Alligator mississippiensis: one gene and its partner. The protein of the gene in region 2 interacts with the protein of the main gene of each other region in a pairwise test. Links are inferred from orthologs where the notes say so. Each region holds a gene or a part of one and is shown on either strand. Other genes may lie near its edges.

What was found.
Region 1: the proteins of RBBP8 (region 2) and LIMS1 interact in a two-hybrid assay, tested with the Homo sapiens proteins (2 studies listed by BioGRID and IntAct). The two-hybrid records come from large-scale screens. The link is inferred for Alligator mississippiensis from reciprocal best matches to the Homo sapiens genes RBBP8 and LIMS1.

Annotation. Positions count from the first base shown.
Region 1 is NC_081824.1:349,550,504-349,558,509, forward strand, and holds the start of LIMS1 (LIM and senescent cell antigen-like-containing domain protein 1), read left to right. Parts: upstream 1-4,804; 5' UTR 4,805-4,952; coding exon 4,953-5,134; intron 5,135-8,006. UniProt on the Homo sapiens protein: Within the IPP (ILK-PINCH-PARVIN) complex, binds to F-actin, promoting F-actin bundling, a process required to generate force for actin cytoskeleton reorganization and subsequent dynamic cell adhesion events such as cell spreading and migration.
Region 2 is NC_081826.1:87,333,800-87,341,873, reverse strand, and holds the start of RBBP8 (DNA endonuclease RBBP8), read left to right. Parts: upstream 1-4,639; 5' UTR 4,640-4,793; intron 4,794-5,246; 5' UTR 5,247-5,305; intron 5,306-8,074. UniProt on the Homo sapiens protein: Endonuclease that cooperates with the MRE11-RAD50-NBN (MRN) complex in DNA-end resection, the first step of double-strand break (DSB) repair through the homologous recombination (HR) pathway.

The DNA of each region.
Region 1 (8,006 bases), on a different chromosome or scaffold from region 2:
GCATTTATTTTATCACAGGGCTTCCCTTCTTGCAGTGAGGCTGGGTAGCTGGGCAAGGGGAGCAGCTAGACCCAGAGAGCTTGAGCTTGCTCTTACCTGCCTTATTTTCTGGGCTGGGGCACATTGATTGAGCATCACTGTGATTGAACATCACTGGCCTAGAGCTTTCACAGTTGAACACTCAGAGCTTACCTGCCAGAAAGCCATTTTGTTACTGAATGAAGAGGCCTAGGAACTGTAAAAGCATCTAGCATACAAAATGCATCTGACAGCTGGCCAGTTATTCCTTTATAATACAAGCTTGCTGCGCCTTCTGTTCCACTTGAAGATGTGCCTCTGTTATCCATTTGTTTATAACAGTGGAAAGGGAAAATGAGGGCCATGCATCGCTCTCCTCCCCAGATAGGAAAGGGGAAATTCAGGGAGGGGCAGAATGAAGAGACACGTAGGAGCCATTGGTATGAGGAGGGATTGGCTTTTGGGGTCCCACAGGCATACAGGGGGATGGGAAAGTAGCATACAGAGGGCTTCGTGGGCAAGAAAAATAGAGGGAAACAAAGGAATCTTGGCATTTCCAATGAGCTTAGCCTGTAGAAACAACAGGTGTTTATTCTAGTCCATAGGTTGGCAAGCTTTTCAGAGCATCAGGCTGAAATAACACAGCTCAGTTCCAGAAAGGCCAGCACTTCCAAACCAGCCGCCACTGCTACTTTTCTCCACCTCTAAAATGCTTCTGATATCCAGGCTTTACTCTGTGTTAAAACATTTAAATGGGAGGTGCCTTACCAGTACAAATACAGTTTGGCCCTTTTTGTGTGCTTTTGTTTGCACCTTGAACTTATTCCCCTGGATGAATGCTTTACAATCCAGGAGGATTTTTTAAATTCATAAACTGGGAAACTGTAAACCCTAATGGTGCCCAATGGGCACCATGTTAAGACTGTGCGGGCCGGGAGCAGTCCGAGGCCCTTTTTATTCGCGCGGCGGGCTGTGGCCAGCAGCCCGGACACGCCGGGTCGGGGAAGGCAGGTGGCACGCTAGAATTAGGCACAGACGCTTAATGGTTGATTTAAGATTGTTTACTTACACTGTAGATGGTCGTGGTGCAGGCTGGAAAACTTCCAGGAAAACTTCGCTTAAGTCCCAGTTTAAGGACTCGGACAGAGCTCTGGATTCACTCACACGAAGTTTGCTAGGCTCCGTGGAACTTGTGCGCACAGGGAAGGGTATGTCAAGGGATTAGGCGGCGACGGGGAGAGGCGAGAGGCTGATCAGACCCCTATAGCCTTCTTGAAATACACGCTGGGTCCAATAGGCTCCGCAGCGCTTAGAGATCTTCACGAGACGTGAAGTCTCCTCCTCCTGATGTTCGTGGAGTCCTCCAACTTGGGCGGAAACCACTCAAGCCTCTTATATGGCTAGCAAGCCAATCGCTAGCCACCACGTAGGAATAATTTAGAACTGACCAATAGTGGGGCACGAATTTGAATACAAATGGCGGGAACTCCTTGCAACGTGCATTTCTGTGTTGCAACCCTGCAAAGAAAGCTACAAGTGGCGGGAAATAATTCAGCAGTGCCGAAGCACACACAAACAAAAATCACACCCTTGGGTTGTGACAAAGACTACTTCTTGATGCACGCTAGCCCTGGGTTAATGATACAGTATCATGATGAAGCTTCTTTGCCTTCTTAGTTCCACAGGAAGGGCAGGATTAATCAATAAAAGAGTGGCACTAAGGCTTAGTAGAGGAACAGTGTGTGTCAAGATGGCACTAGGACCCTGCTCCCATCATCGCAGTTTCTGTCTGAAGCCACAGGGAGAGGGTTCAGCCTTCACTTGTCCCTACTGCCAAATGCTGCCAAAGCCGCATGTCTGCAGCTTTTGATTGCAGACTCCTGCTCTAACAGATTAAAGTACTTGTAAATGTTCCACAGAAACAGCTACAGATTTTGTCTCCTGTCCATGCACCTGCCACATATTTTGTTTCAAGATTACACTGTGGGGGCGTGGGAACGGGGGAGGAAAAATGTTTGATTCAGACATCATTATATGAAGTACAGGTGGTGCTAAGTCCTGTCTCCATTATACTGGTAAAGTGTCTTTTAAGTACTTTAAAAAAAATCTCACCTCCTTAATTAGTGACAGGTAGCACGTCAGGTTCAGTTTGTGTCTACATGACAGCAATTCTGGCATCAAAGCCATGTTGGAGTGTGTGACCCAGTGCTTCTGCTGAGCCATATGCTAAAGGCATGTCCTGTGACACCCCAGGCTGCAATCCAGTGAGTTTTTAGTCTGTGGCTAGAATGCCTGTAGGACCTGCCCACAGAAAACTGCAAGCTGCACATGGGGGAAGCATGCTCCAGAGCGTCATACAGCCAAGAGAAAGTGGATGTAGGACAGGCGCAAACCAGTTGCACAACATCTCTGTTTGTCCCTTACAGCAAAAACACAGCTTGGTGGCAGAAAAACAGCCAAGTGTCAGACTAGGCCTCTGCTTAGGGTGTCTTGCTGCCATTTTTAACCATACTCAATGTTGCCTCGAACATTATTTAGAGTCAGCCAGCTGTGCCGATGTTATTTTCAACATGGTCAAAAATTGTAGTACAAACAGGGCCTTTCCTTTTTTTTAAAGCCACTGGCATTTCCTAAGAAACAGAAGCTTTATTGGAGTTCCCTTAATATTGTCAGTTTTCTGTGTTTGCGAGCTCAAGTGTTCGTTCCTAGTTAGTCTCTCCCTGATCTCTGCCCTGGCTTTCTCATGCTACACAGTAACAAGCATAGATACCAAAACCACTCCTGTCGACAATGTAACCTGTGCGTGGCTTTACTGTGCATTTTTAACCAGTTGCTAATGAGAGTCTGTTGATTGTGACACATCACTTAGTTACTTGGGCTATCCATTTCAGTTTGAAAGTCCAAAGCTGTTAGAGGTTGGGCCTGTCATCTGTGTCACAGGTATCAGATTTTAACCAGCTAGAGTATGGCAAGAGAGCATAGTTACTGGCTGCCAGTCCTGACTTTATCTGACCTTCCTATGGAACCGAAAGATGCATAATCTCCTGGGGTGAGATAACTACTCTAAGAGGCCTGCCATTGGTAGAACATGGAAAATGATATTGTTTTTAAGAAGAATGTAGCATTAAAATAATATGAAAAAATGGTGTCATTCAGCATCAGGAATTGTCATCCATGTGATAACAGGATGGTTTTCTCTCTTCTCTTCCCTTTTCAGATTTCCAATCTGTATAGGACTTTTTCTATGAGTACAGTGCTGCAAGCACAGCCTGGTAACTGAAAATCAAGTTTGTTATCACTGTTTCTTACATAGTTAACTACACCTTTCTTGGCAATTCTGTTAATGAAAGGAAAATGGAAAAAAAACCCTCTACTTTTCTAGGAAGAAAATTGTTATGGGATCAGAATAATATGGTTGGTAGGAACCACTAAGAAGTCATTTAATCCAGCAATTGGTAGCCTTTTTGTGGTGACAGGCTGGAATAACCTCCACACACTCTACCTAGCTGCAATGCAACATAGCATGAATGAGGCCCTCCTGCTCCATGAATACCACTAGAGTCCTCTTGGATCTATAGGCTCTGCAGAGTAGACTGTAGGTTACCATATCCATTGGCTACAGCCCAGAGACTATAGGATACCAACCCCTGATCTTGGACAGCCCTTTCTGATCAAGGAAGACTCATGACTATTTAAACCAGAGGTGTCAAAGTGATCAGGCTCCATGGGCTGGATGAGTGGCACAGGACCAGTGCATAGGCCAGGTGAATAACTCAGGGCCAGCCCTGCAGGCCAAATGAGTCCCATGCCCTTCCTCACATGCTAGATACAGCAGCTGCTCCAGCCAGTCTGGGATGTGGATCACACACAGCATATGTCCCAAACCGGTTGTGCAGCACAGTCCTAGAGCAAGCGCCACGGCTATTAGATTTGGTGTGTGGCGGGCGGAGGGGTCCTGAACTGGCTGTGTGCGGGTGCTGCTTGTAGTGCAGGTCTCAGAGTGGTCTGCACATGCAATGCATGTCCTACACTGGCTGGAGCAGGCATCGCATTTGGCATGTCTTGGGCCCTACGCATGGGGCCAGTCCAGTGCACACCTCACGTGGTTCAACTCGAGACTCAGGGGCAGGGGCCAGCTGTTGGACCCCATGGGCCATACCTTTGATACCTCGGTTTAAACCATTTTAGCCAAGTGTTTGCCTAACTCTCAGTTAAAAATGTGTGGTGATGAAGGAGATTCCACAACCTCTTTAGGTAGTTTGTTCTAGTGATTAACCACCCTCTTAGTGAGAGAGTTCATCCATCTAAATTTCCCTTGCTGCAGTTTAAGTCCTTGTTGATCTATAATCTCAGACTACTTAACTAAGAATGACTCGTTAGTAGTGCAAAAGGCTATTTTTACAATTTAGTTTGCCAGAAGTTTAAAAACAATCTTCATCTAGTGACAAAATATTTCTTGTATGTTTTTCAGTGTTAGTGTTTTCATGATAAAGTAGCATTGTGGTCATTTTTTTTCTACCTAGTACTTTTTTCCTCTAGTAACTTGATGAGCTTGACAATGAATGTGTTCACTTGCACAGGTTTACTCATAAAATAGCTCTTCTGTGCCTGACTAGAATTCTTCTATCGGCAATAGATAGTGAAGCCCTGATGTACTGTCCAAGTTTGTATTACAACCTTGTAATGGAATGTGTTCCTCAGCTTCCAATGACCCCTTAGTAAATAGCAGCATGACGTTCTAGCTGCTCTGCCGCTGAGCTCTTAACGTGAAGCTCTACCAGAGTGCTCGACAAGCCGAGCTAACTGACATGACACTGTGAAAATAAATCACTTCCCTGGGAACAAGGAGGATTCCTGCGTATTGTTTCTCTGGATTTTTGTCTGCAGCTTCCTTTTGAGTATTACAGTGGATTTTTCATAATAGTTAACGAAGGATGGAATTCCAAAGCAGAGCTCGCTCCTATCTGATTCCAGAGACTGAAGACGCTCCACACAAGGTCCCTCAGGATGCCTACAATATCAGAGGAAATGAAGGCGAAAAACCAGTGTCAAAATTACAGCGTAGGCACAGTGAAATAAAAGTATACAAAGAGTTTTGTGACTTTTACGCAAGATCGTAAGTTCACTTGCTCAGCATTTGGATGTTATTTGACAGATCACCTTTTAACATCTGTAGTTGTCTTTACTCGTTTTATTTTGTATAGAATAGGATTGATCCATTCTCTAGTGCAATTCCACTTGTTGTGATTGATTAATTGGTAGTTTTCATCCCCACGTGATTTTTTTAATGAACTATTTTGCACTTGCAAATCAAATTATGTGTGTGAGACTTGGATATTAGTTTGTACAAATTTTGGGGGAAAAGGTACAAATGATCTTACTGGTACCATAACTTTCTATTTATTACATTTTGGTGGATAATTATTGATTACCATAACAAATAGTAAGCTTATGTTGCCATTAGGAAATTTTGACATTTCTCAAAGTAAAGTGAATTAAGTATTTGAGAGTTCTGCAGGGAGAAAAGAAAGCTTTGAGGGCGAGGAGTTTTTTGTTTGTTTGTTTGTTTCTGGGTTTTTTTGGTTTTGCTAAAAGCTATGCTTTTCGAAGTTTCTTCACCAACTACTTCTGGTTAGATAGTACTTTGTATCCAAGAAATGCTTGAAGTTAAATTCTAAGGTACAATATCTGTTCACCTTTTCTATGCAAAAGCTGTTGAGCTATAGAAAAGGTTGCAAGTTATACTGTGTTCAATATTCACACCAAATCTGGACACTTTTTCAGTAGATAGGGTGTGAAATAACCTGTTTCCCTTTGAAAAAGCACAATAGTTTTGACAGAAGTAGTTTATGAAGAGAGGCAGTTAGCAATACAGCTAGACATTCTTTACGTTTCTTATTTGTGCGTGCGTGCATGCGTGCACACACATGTACATTTGCTTGAAACCCTGTGAGAAATGGAATACTCTTGATCTGATACTCTTGAGGTTTATGTGGAAAATGCAGCTACTGTCACCCTCTTCTGAAAAGAGTTGTAGAATAGAAAAACCAGCAGATTACTAATAACCAGGCAAGTGCTGTTTTAAGCAGGGCTTGCTATTTTTCTGTGGTGTAGTGTTAGGTAGTAGTTCTCAGCTTCAGGACCGAACACAGGCATGGGCGAACCGGGCAGCTGCCCAGGGCCCAGACAAATAGGGGGCTTGAAAATGGTCATTTTTTTATTAATAGTATCATTATCTCTGGCGAAGCGGGGCCTGATACTAAAAGTTCGTGTGGGGCCACCAGGAGTCTATGTACGGTGCTGCTCAACTTCTTCAGATTTGAGGCACCCCTCATTAGACAGCACCCCTCAGAAAATGTTGGTTTTTACTAGTTTTGTGACTATAAAAAATACTAGAGCAATTATTCTGTTGCAAAGAACTCAAAACGACCACAGCAGGATAGAAGGTTTCTGACACGATTGATTCCTATTTGAAATCACTGGTTTTATCTTATGAATCATGTTGGAGCACCTAACAGTGCTAATATCACCCTTTAAAAGATCTCTCAGTTTCCTTGTTGAGACTTACTGGTATAAAGAATATAGTTCCTCAGTTTGGAACCATTTAATAAGAACTGTGTTAATTATTGTTGGCACTCCCTCAATTCAAGGATGATCTCTGCCAAGGCTCATTGATGGGTCTTGAGGTGATTTAGGAGTCTAGTCCTTGAATCACAGATCTGTTCACAATCTGTGTTAATGTAATACCATGAACCGACGCAAGTTTTGTACAGAGGAAGTCAGTTGGAGTTGAGGACACTAATACCTGTAAAGTAATACTCAGCATCCAGCCTTTTTGGCAGGCATGCCACAAATTGGCCCTGTGCTGTCCCTGAGTGTGCCTACATGAGGCATTTACTGTAAAGCTGACCAATTAATTCTGCAGTAAATGTCTCTGTGTCTCGACATGCACCCCTGTTAGGATGCAGGAAACTAATATAAACTCTGCAGCAGAGTATTTACAAGTCCTACCCTGCAGCAGTTTTTTGTGCACAGCTGCACATGTGTAGACTCAGACCCAACTGCCTAGGGCATGAGGGTGCTTCAGTGCAGAGGCTGTCTGCTGGCTTGCCCCACACTGGAGCACACTTGTGCCCTATCCAGCCCCTGTGCAACACATTGAGCCTGGTCAGAGCAGCTCCAGGCTGGCAGGCTGACCCCCCTGACTCCCTGCCAGCCGAGGCTGCTCAGACCTGGCTCGGTATGCTGCAGTTTGGGCACGCATCTAAACCACGTGCCAGGGAGCTTCCCAGGAGCAATAAACTTGGAAGCAAAAAACTGCCGAGTTTATTGCTCATGTGTAGATGTACCCCTCTGAGTGCCATTCTAATCCCCATGCTCTGCCTGGTCTGGTGCTCTGTTTTCTGCTCCCTACCTTGTACTTTGCCCAGTCTCCAGCTCTGCTTTCTGTGACTGTGCTGCTTCTCCTCTCCCTGATCTGCCATGAGCCATACACACAGGCCGCCTGTGGCACTTGTGCTGCAGGTTGGCAACCCTTGTTATAGAGGATGTTGCTCTCCCTTTATATGGATGCAACATGACTTCCTGTCAAACACAGAAATCATCTTTTTACTTACTGAAGAATAGAAACAGTTTCTCTTATAAAAATACCTCAGTCAATCATCTTACCAGAAAATTCACATCCCTTAAATGGGTTTTATCTATACTCTATAACTGTTCTGCAAGTGGTTTGCCAAATATTCTTAAATTGATCATTTGCCCTGTATTTGCTCCCCACATAAAGGTACAGGTAGAGAGCTCTGCCTCAAAGACTTTTGTGAATTTAGGTGTAAGCAGGGAAACAGCGTAAAGTCCGAGGGCTTAAAAAAATTAGAGCCAGGTCCCCCAGTTGACAGATATGGAGCAATGCTGATTTATTGCAGTTGAATATTCAAACCTAAAGAGTGAGTTTGGTTTCTGATTTTTGCAGATGTTGCATTAACATTTTA
Region 2 (8,074 bases):
TGCCGCAGCTCCGCTCCCAGTCCCACGCTGCTGCCCAGTGCAGCTCCGGCTGCAGCCTTCTCCTAGCACCACTGGCGCCCTCTACAAGCCCAGCTCCCAGCAAGAAAAGACCCACACAGTGCCGGCTCCACCCCGCAGCTGCAGCCCGCCCTGCACCACACAGATCTGGGGACCCACCCCAGCCTCCCAGGATGCAAGTGGTGGTGGGAGCTGCCCCCACCCCATGAGCTGCGCCTCCATCCCGCGCCCCCCTCCACCCCAGCTGGGCAGAGCCTGCTCTGCACCCTCCCTCACCGCAGGGAGCATTGATCTGCCCCCACAAGCCCTTTCCCTCCCCTCTCCCCTTCCACCACACCAGATCTACCACCTGATGGCAGCTGTATTGGATATTGGATCAGTATCGGCCAATATGCCTCCTTAAATATCGGCTATCGGTATCGGCCCCCAAAATCTCTATCAGTGCACCCCTAGTTTTCACCCTTTTATAAGTTGCCATGTCAAAGGAAGCATATATAAGATTGTTAACCACCAGAGCCCTTAAGCTCTGCTACGTAAAAAAAATAATAAATCCCAGCTGTTAGATTTGAAATGTGCCTAAAAATCCACACTGAGGGATTACAAGTTTAGAATAATTCATTTCTATTTTAAAAGAATATGCTGAAAATATCACTTCAGCAGTTTTGTCATTCATAGAATCATAGAAAATTAGGGTTGGAAAGGGCCTTAATGGGTCATCTAGTTCAATCCACTGCTCAAAGCATGACCATCCCCAACTAGACCATTCCAGCCACAGCTTTGTCAAGCTAGGCTTTAAAAACCTCCAAGGATGAAGATTCCACCATCTTTCTAGGTAACCTGTTCCACTGCTTTACTACCCTCCTAGTGAGAAAGTTTTCCCTAATATCCAGTCTAAACTTCCCTTGCTGCAACTTGAAACCATTGTTCCTTGTTCTGTCATCTGCTGCCACTGAGAACAGTCTAGCTTCGTCCTCTTTGTAAGTACCCTTCAGGTAGTTAAAGGCTGCTATCAAGTTCTCTCCTCCCCCTGCCCCCAATCTTCTTTTCTGCAGATTAAATAAATCCAGTTCCCTGAGGCTCTTCTGACAAGTCATGTGACCCAGCCCCCTAACCATTTTCATTGCCCTCCACTGGACTCTCTCCAACTTGTCCACGTCCTTTCTGAAGTTTAGTGAAAAGAAAGAGTTTTATTTCACTTCTCTTTTTGGAAACCAAACTTCTACATGACACAGATTTCTTGTCCTTAATCATCCAAAAACATACATTATGTATATAGAAAACATAAGAATGTAAGAAATGCCATAGTGGGTTAGACCACAGATCCATCTAATTCAGTAGTCTCTTTCTCACCATGGCATGACTAGATGCTTCAGGGTAAGAGTATTTATGTGTTGAGGTATAGGTTGTAGCTAGGTTGGTCTAAGAGCATAGGCAAACAAGGCCCAAAACACACCGAATGGATCCAGGCCATGCCATGACAAGAAATCTAAAACCTGACAATATATCTCCACCACCCCCACAACAGAACCTTCAGCATTCCTGGATCTCACAGCTGTACCTCCTATATCTCATCCAATGCACCAAATGCCCTGATGGAAAATACATAGGAGAGACGAAACAACAACTGTGTACCAGAATGAACACACACTGGTAATCTATCAAAGACAAGAATACCCAATTACCTGTGGGGGCACATTTATCACAAGAAAAACCACTCTCTCTCCAGTCTCTCAGTTCTAATCCTCAAAGGGAATTTACAAAATACCTTTCACAGATGAGCCTACAAACTTCACTTCATCAACCTACTGGATCAAAAAATCATGGACTAAGTATAGACATTGGATTTATGACATATACCTGCCTAACATCTGACTCCCCGGGTACCTCTCCACTATTTACCAGCTACATTCACCCTCCCCACCCCCAGCCTCTCTCTCACCCATTGACTCTTCAACTTACATAGTCACTGACTGATTTTCTTGCATGTATACCAGCCCCTGGCTGCTTTACTATTCATTCCAACCAGGAAGACCACAGACCAATTGCAGATGCTTTCTCAGCCTGAAGAAGGGTGTTTGTGCTCAAAAGCTTAAAAAGAAAAATAATGTTTAATAAAAGACATCCAATTTACCCAAAGAACCTTGTCTGCCAGAGTATTTATGTGAAACCTATCCAGATGATCTATCCCCTGCCCCTCTCCTCTGTGGCTTCCAGGTTCAGATGTTTAGGAAATCCTGATTTTGAGGTTAGACTCAAAACTAACATATCTAATAGCAACTGATGGACCTCTGATTTTTTCCAGTTCCCTCTTGAACTGATTAAATTATCAGCCATTACAATACCTTGTGGCAATGAGTTCTAGGAGTTAATTACAGTCAAACTCTTAACAGGATAAGGTATTTCTAAAATTAACACTAACTGTGGATGAACTTTAAAAAATATACCTCAGTCTGTTAGGTGATATAATATTGCCAACATTAGAAATACCAAAATCAAATAAATCATATGATTTTTTCCTCAGTATATTTCATATTCAGTATGAAATCAAGTATATGTGCAACACTTCTAATGAGTCTATATATCTTTACAATCTAAATAATACACTTTACAATTTAAATACAATAAAGAGGATTGAATTAACCACTTTAAAAATAGACCCATTTCTGGAAAGAATGTAGCAGCCATTTAGTACTGCTCAGCAGCACTGCACAACATTTTGGGAAACAAAATGAAGAATACTGTCTCCAATTGAAACTTCCAGAGAAATTTTATTTCAAATTTGACAAGGATACTTGTTAAAAATCTACATCTTATGTGAAAAATGCTAGGAAATAATTAAAAATCCCAAGTTTCCACATCTTCTGTTTCATATTTTATCACAAATATGGTACCTTTAGCACTCTGTACTCCCTGTCTAATGCTTGCATTGCTTCATAACTACTCAGTACCGCCTACTGAATCACCAAAACCACTTCCTGCGGCAGTTTTACTTGTTAAGACTCTTAGCCAAGTACTGACCAAACCCAACCCTGCTTAGCTGCATAAAATCATAGCCTTAGGTGGTATGACTGCAAGCATAAACAGCGAACATCTGTCAACTTGGCTGAAAGTTAGGAATCTCATTGCCTTCTCCAGTGGTAGCTCCTACTTTCCAAATACTTCACAAAATATAGCCTCACATTCAGCTTTACCTTCACACAGGACAACAGATACTTCAGTAGGTTTCTTGCAAACATCTCCATTCCTTGCTTTGATCTATGCTGGGCTATGATGAAAAAGTGGTTGCATTGCATAAGCTTGGTTAAAGGTGAGGCTTATTTCCTCTGCTCTAAGCATTGGAGGTTGAATAGCTATTAAAATTCATAAATAACAAGTAGGGATCTGAAGAAGTATATACAAATTCCATGATTAGGTTACATCATGAATAAATGTACATGTTTCTAACTTTACCAATGCCTTTGTCAAGCCTAAGTACTGGTCCTAAAGTGAGGCTCTTAAGTAAAAGTTAAATGAGCCCCAATTATGCCTCTAGAAACCTCACCTTAGGTAAATACAGTCTAATTTTATGAGTGTTAAATATCTACAACCATTGGCTTCAGGAGAAGACAGAGGTACTTAGCACCTTTGAAAATCATGTAACAAACTGTATAAATTCTGGTCTGTGTTCCTGTTTGGAAGAAGGTAATACCAGGCAAATCCTGGTCTCTGCATATAGCTAGAATACATAGGCTTTGCTCAGAGCAGTTCTGTAAGTATTCTTGTCCCCACACTATCCAGGGGCTGCACTGTAGCTCCTACTGCAGGGTGCTATAGTAGCATGCCCAGCAGCTTTGTCCTCTCTACCACAGAAGGGTGATGACATCTAAGTAGTTCTGCACAGGGGTGGGTGCACTGCACACACATTGCACTGCCTCTAACCCTGGAAAATCTTTTTACAGAACCAGATGACATGTGGGCAGATACAGCCCTACAGAGAACATGAGTTTCAAACCTTCTGTGCAAGCTCTCTCAGCATCCTTTCTCTATATGCAAGGGAAGACTTGTTTCCAATAGGTAAGATAGTATCTATGGATGGGGAGAGGTCTTAAGAGGAGAGCAGAATTTGTTAATGTTTTGTTTTTGTCATGACAGTTGTGCTAAATATGTGGTGTTATTTAATTACAATAAACTTATGTTGTTATTGCTTTAAAATAGTTTTCTTCCCTGTTTATGCTAGTGAAAAGTAAATCTCCTAAAACAATGCATTTCGTAATGCAATGAAAGAGTTTACAACAATAGGATCTTTCTGGATTTGACATGGATATATCACTCCCTCATCCCTCAGCAAATTATTTTGCTGGAGGCTACATCATTCTATCAGTGGTGCGCTGGGAGTTGACGGAGGCGTGAATAATTCACCATCTACGAAGCCTAGCTGAACTGAGTTGAGCTGCAGCATGTTAGGCTGGCCTTTGATGCAGACTGGTTGGGCAGGTTCCTGTTCTACTGAGAAACCGGTTTGGCAGGCCTGTTATGCCAACAAATTCTGGTATGATTCCATGTTCTACAGAATGTAGAAACCTGCCCAGCCAGTTAAATGAAAGGCATATTAGGTTATCCATTGCACATTGTATATATCTTAGGTGCAGCAGATCTCATCTCAGCATTCTTCAGTGTGGTCCACAGTGAATTCCTCATCTCACTTATGCTTTAGGTTTATAGCTTGAGGGGAAGTCAGCAGTAAGTATTCACCTTCCCTGATCAAGAACAGAACCTTTCACAATTAAAACAAAAGGGTGAGTTTTAAAAAAAAAATTTTAAAGTAATTTAAGAAAATCTAACTCTGAAATTCAGTGTTACTGCACTTAAATTTGTAGTGAATGTTTTTTGTATGGATCTGTTTACTATATACCATTAGCTCCAGCTTCTGTGTTTCTAAGTGACATCATTTGTATAACTTCTGACACTTCTGTATGTAGGTAAACATCAGCTATTCCATCTTTATCTAATAACATTTAATGGAGAGAATTGTCTAATTAATTGTACAGTAGTAGGAGACAGGAATATCTGAATACTAATTAGGGTGTTGCCATTGACTCGGTGTATCAACTTGGGCAAGTCACTTAACTGTCTTAAGACAGAACCATCTCAGAGGGGTATTGTGATAAGGTAAAGTGTTATAAGGTACTAAATGTTGATACTATTATCTATTTCTTGTTAGACCAACACTTTTATTTTAAATTTTGCAGGTTTATGGAATAACTTACTTGGCAAAATTTGGTTTAGCACATGCATAACTGACTTAGTGGTGAGTGTTGAAAGCAAACTGTTTCTTAAAAATAAAGAACTATTATTAACTTTCCCTTACTTACCAAATAAAGGCTTCACAAACATGTTTTGTGTGTAATAAGTAATTCAGAGTAGCAATACAAATATAAATGAATCCAAATAATAAACCTACTCCTGACAGCTCTGAAATTTGTGAGGGTTTGGGCTCTGGATCGTTTACAAGTACAGCGTCAAATAAGGAAAAATAAATGGCATAGAAAACAAAAGCTCTGGAATCTGGTAACTGATTAACTACTGGAACTCAGGAAGTACTAGCTGAGCTGAACAGAAAGGAATGAAGACAGGTTTTGTCATGCCTGTTAGGACAAAATGATTCTTTAGCTGAAGTAAATGTGAATCTTCCTGTCATCTGTGTAACTAAACTTTTGAAAACCATCCTCTAACCACTTCCATGTCCCCAGGAAGCTTATTTTAGTGTGTCTTTAGATAAAATAATTACAGTTCACCTGTGTGATGTGATGTAATGAACAATTTTGTGCCTGATGAATTGTATTTTAGTGTTGCTTAAGGGAAATGAAGGTATGTATAGGAGTATGTGAGACTCAGGATAATAATCTTGTAACAGAACCCTTATCATGGTAAGTATTTACTATACGCCATTTACAGGTTGATGTAAAAATTTACATCTTGTTTATAACTCTTTAGTAGAATACCAGTAAATAGGCTTCCTGAGCACCTAAAAGCTCTGAATGGAAGGCTGAAATAACCTTCTCACTGGTAGCACTGAGTCTGCTTGTTAAAACTAGAGATTTTCTTCAAAGTGTGGGAAAAAGAGCAAGAAGAAAAAGATGTTTCTTCTGTATAGGCTGAGAATACTGTTTAGAAGAAATAGTTTAATTTTAGGGGTTAAAATTTCTGATTGCTGATGAAAATTATAAATCATTAAAGGAAGTGTTGCATATTTTAAAGAATATGTAATTTTCCCAAAATAGGGAACATGAATAACCAGTTAAACTGCTCGTTATCTGATGTACATTTTGTCAGGTGATAAGTTTAATTCATAAAAATATTTCCTGCATCTGTTTTGGTAGTAGCATATGTGTATTTGTGTATATCAAACATTTCTGATCCAGTGTTCTAGTTAATGGTAATTGAATAGCATTGTGTTCTAGTGATAAGAGAATGAGTTAGACATTCCGTTCATTACAGTCATGGTCTGCCTCTCCATCTCTTGGTGCATAAATTCCCTTGCTATAAAATTGTGGTGGTAATACTTTGCAGGGTTGTTGCAAGGCTTAATTAATTAATGTCTCCAGAGAATTTTGAGATCCTTAGATGAAACGCACCACAGCAGTACAGTAAAATAGTACCATTATTTGCATTCTTACTCTAGTAGTATATCAATGGTTGCTTGAAGCCCTGCTATTAAAAAAGACATTGTCAAGAAATGTAAGTGCTTAATTTGTTCTTATTCAAAAGCTACTTTGTACCTGGTAGAAGATGCCTTCTAAACTATAAAATGGTTCCACAGTAATTTGTTTTCCAAGTCTTGAGCCCTGGAACACAGCATATTTGTTAAATTTCAACTAAATAGTGAGCCATGTGAATTAATAGTTGCCCACGCTCCTAAAGTAACTGGTTTTGTGTTTAGTTTTGGCAGAAGTGTCTGTTTTTGACAGATATGCCATATATTACATATGGCTTTGACAGTTTTTCCTCTAAAATTCTCATCATTCACATAGAAAGCAACATGAGTTCTGGGCTGGTAAACTTTCATGATTTTCCATGGCTGAAATAAACACATTATGCCATTAGAACAGCTACACAGTACTTATACACTTAGGATTCCTCTCTGGATTATATTAATAAAACTCAGGCACATTGCTGCTTAGAGTCTTTGAACCAAGCATACTTGCTAACTATTCAAATTAAGCTCACAGGAAAAAATAGATAAATAGTATCAGGCTGATAAATGGAAAAGGATCAGAGTGAGAGAGACTATTTTGGAGGTAACTATGGCTGCACTAGTCTGGACGTGGCAATGTGGTATGTGGCGCTGCATACATGTCTGCAGTGCTATATACCACACGTTCAGTTGTTCTCTGTGTCACAAGGGAGCAGCACGGAGGGATTTTTTGACCCCTGGACACCAGGGATCAAAAAAACCTGCAGAGAAAAGACATGGAGTGATACGCGGTGGCAGCGTGGGTTGGCCAAAGTGGAGCCTGGCCAGCCAGAGCTGCATTCTGCTGCTGGCCAGGCTCTGCACGTCAGGATCACCACTGATGCAGCCCTTGGAGGCCACCAGAACCCTAAGTAAGGCTGCTGGGGCCAGCCCAGTGCTGGCCTCAGCCTACCCTATCCTACCAGGGGTAACTTGACATGTGCCAGCACGTGCATGACAGATGTTTCCTGGGGCCTAGCAGCAGCACAAGGTGCACTGCCGCTAGTTGTCCCTAGGGAACCAAATGTCCATGCACATCTAGACATGGCCTATAGGTCCAATCCTTCCAATAAGTACTTACTTACAAGTAGTCCTTTTGGAGCCACTGAACTAAGCACTATCTTTGGTAGTCAGTAGATGTAGGATTGGACGGTATCTAATTGTGTGCTTATAGGCTAGCTATCAGTGGTCCTACTGCTTCTATTCCATACACTACCATGATGCCTGAGCAATGCAGAGGTTATGATGCTAATACAACTCTCTCTCATCCCTTCTTCATGTGGGTTAGTAGTGCTAGAGCAAGAGGGTCAAGAATAATGTTTTAATGCCAAAAACTAATGCTAC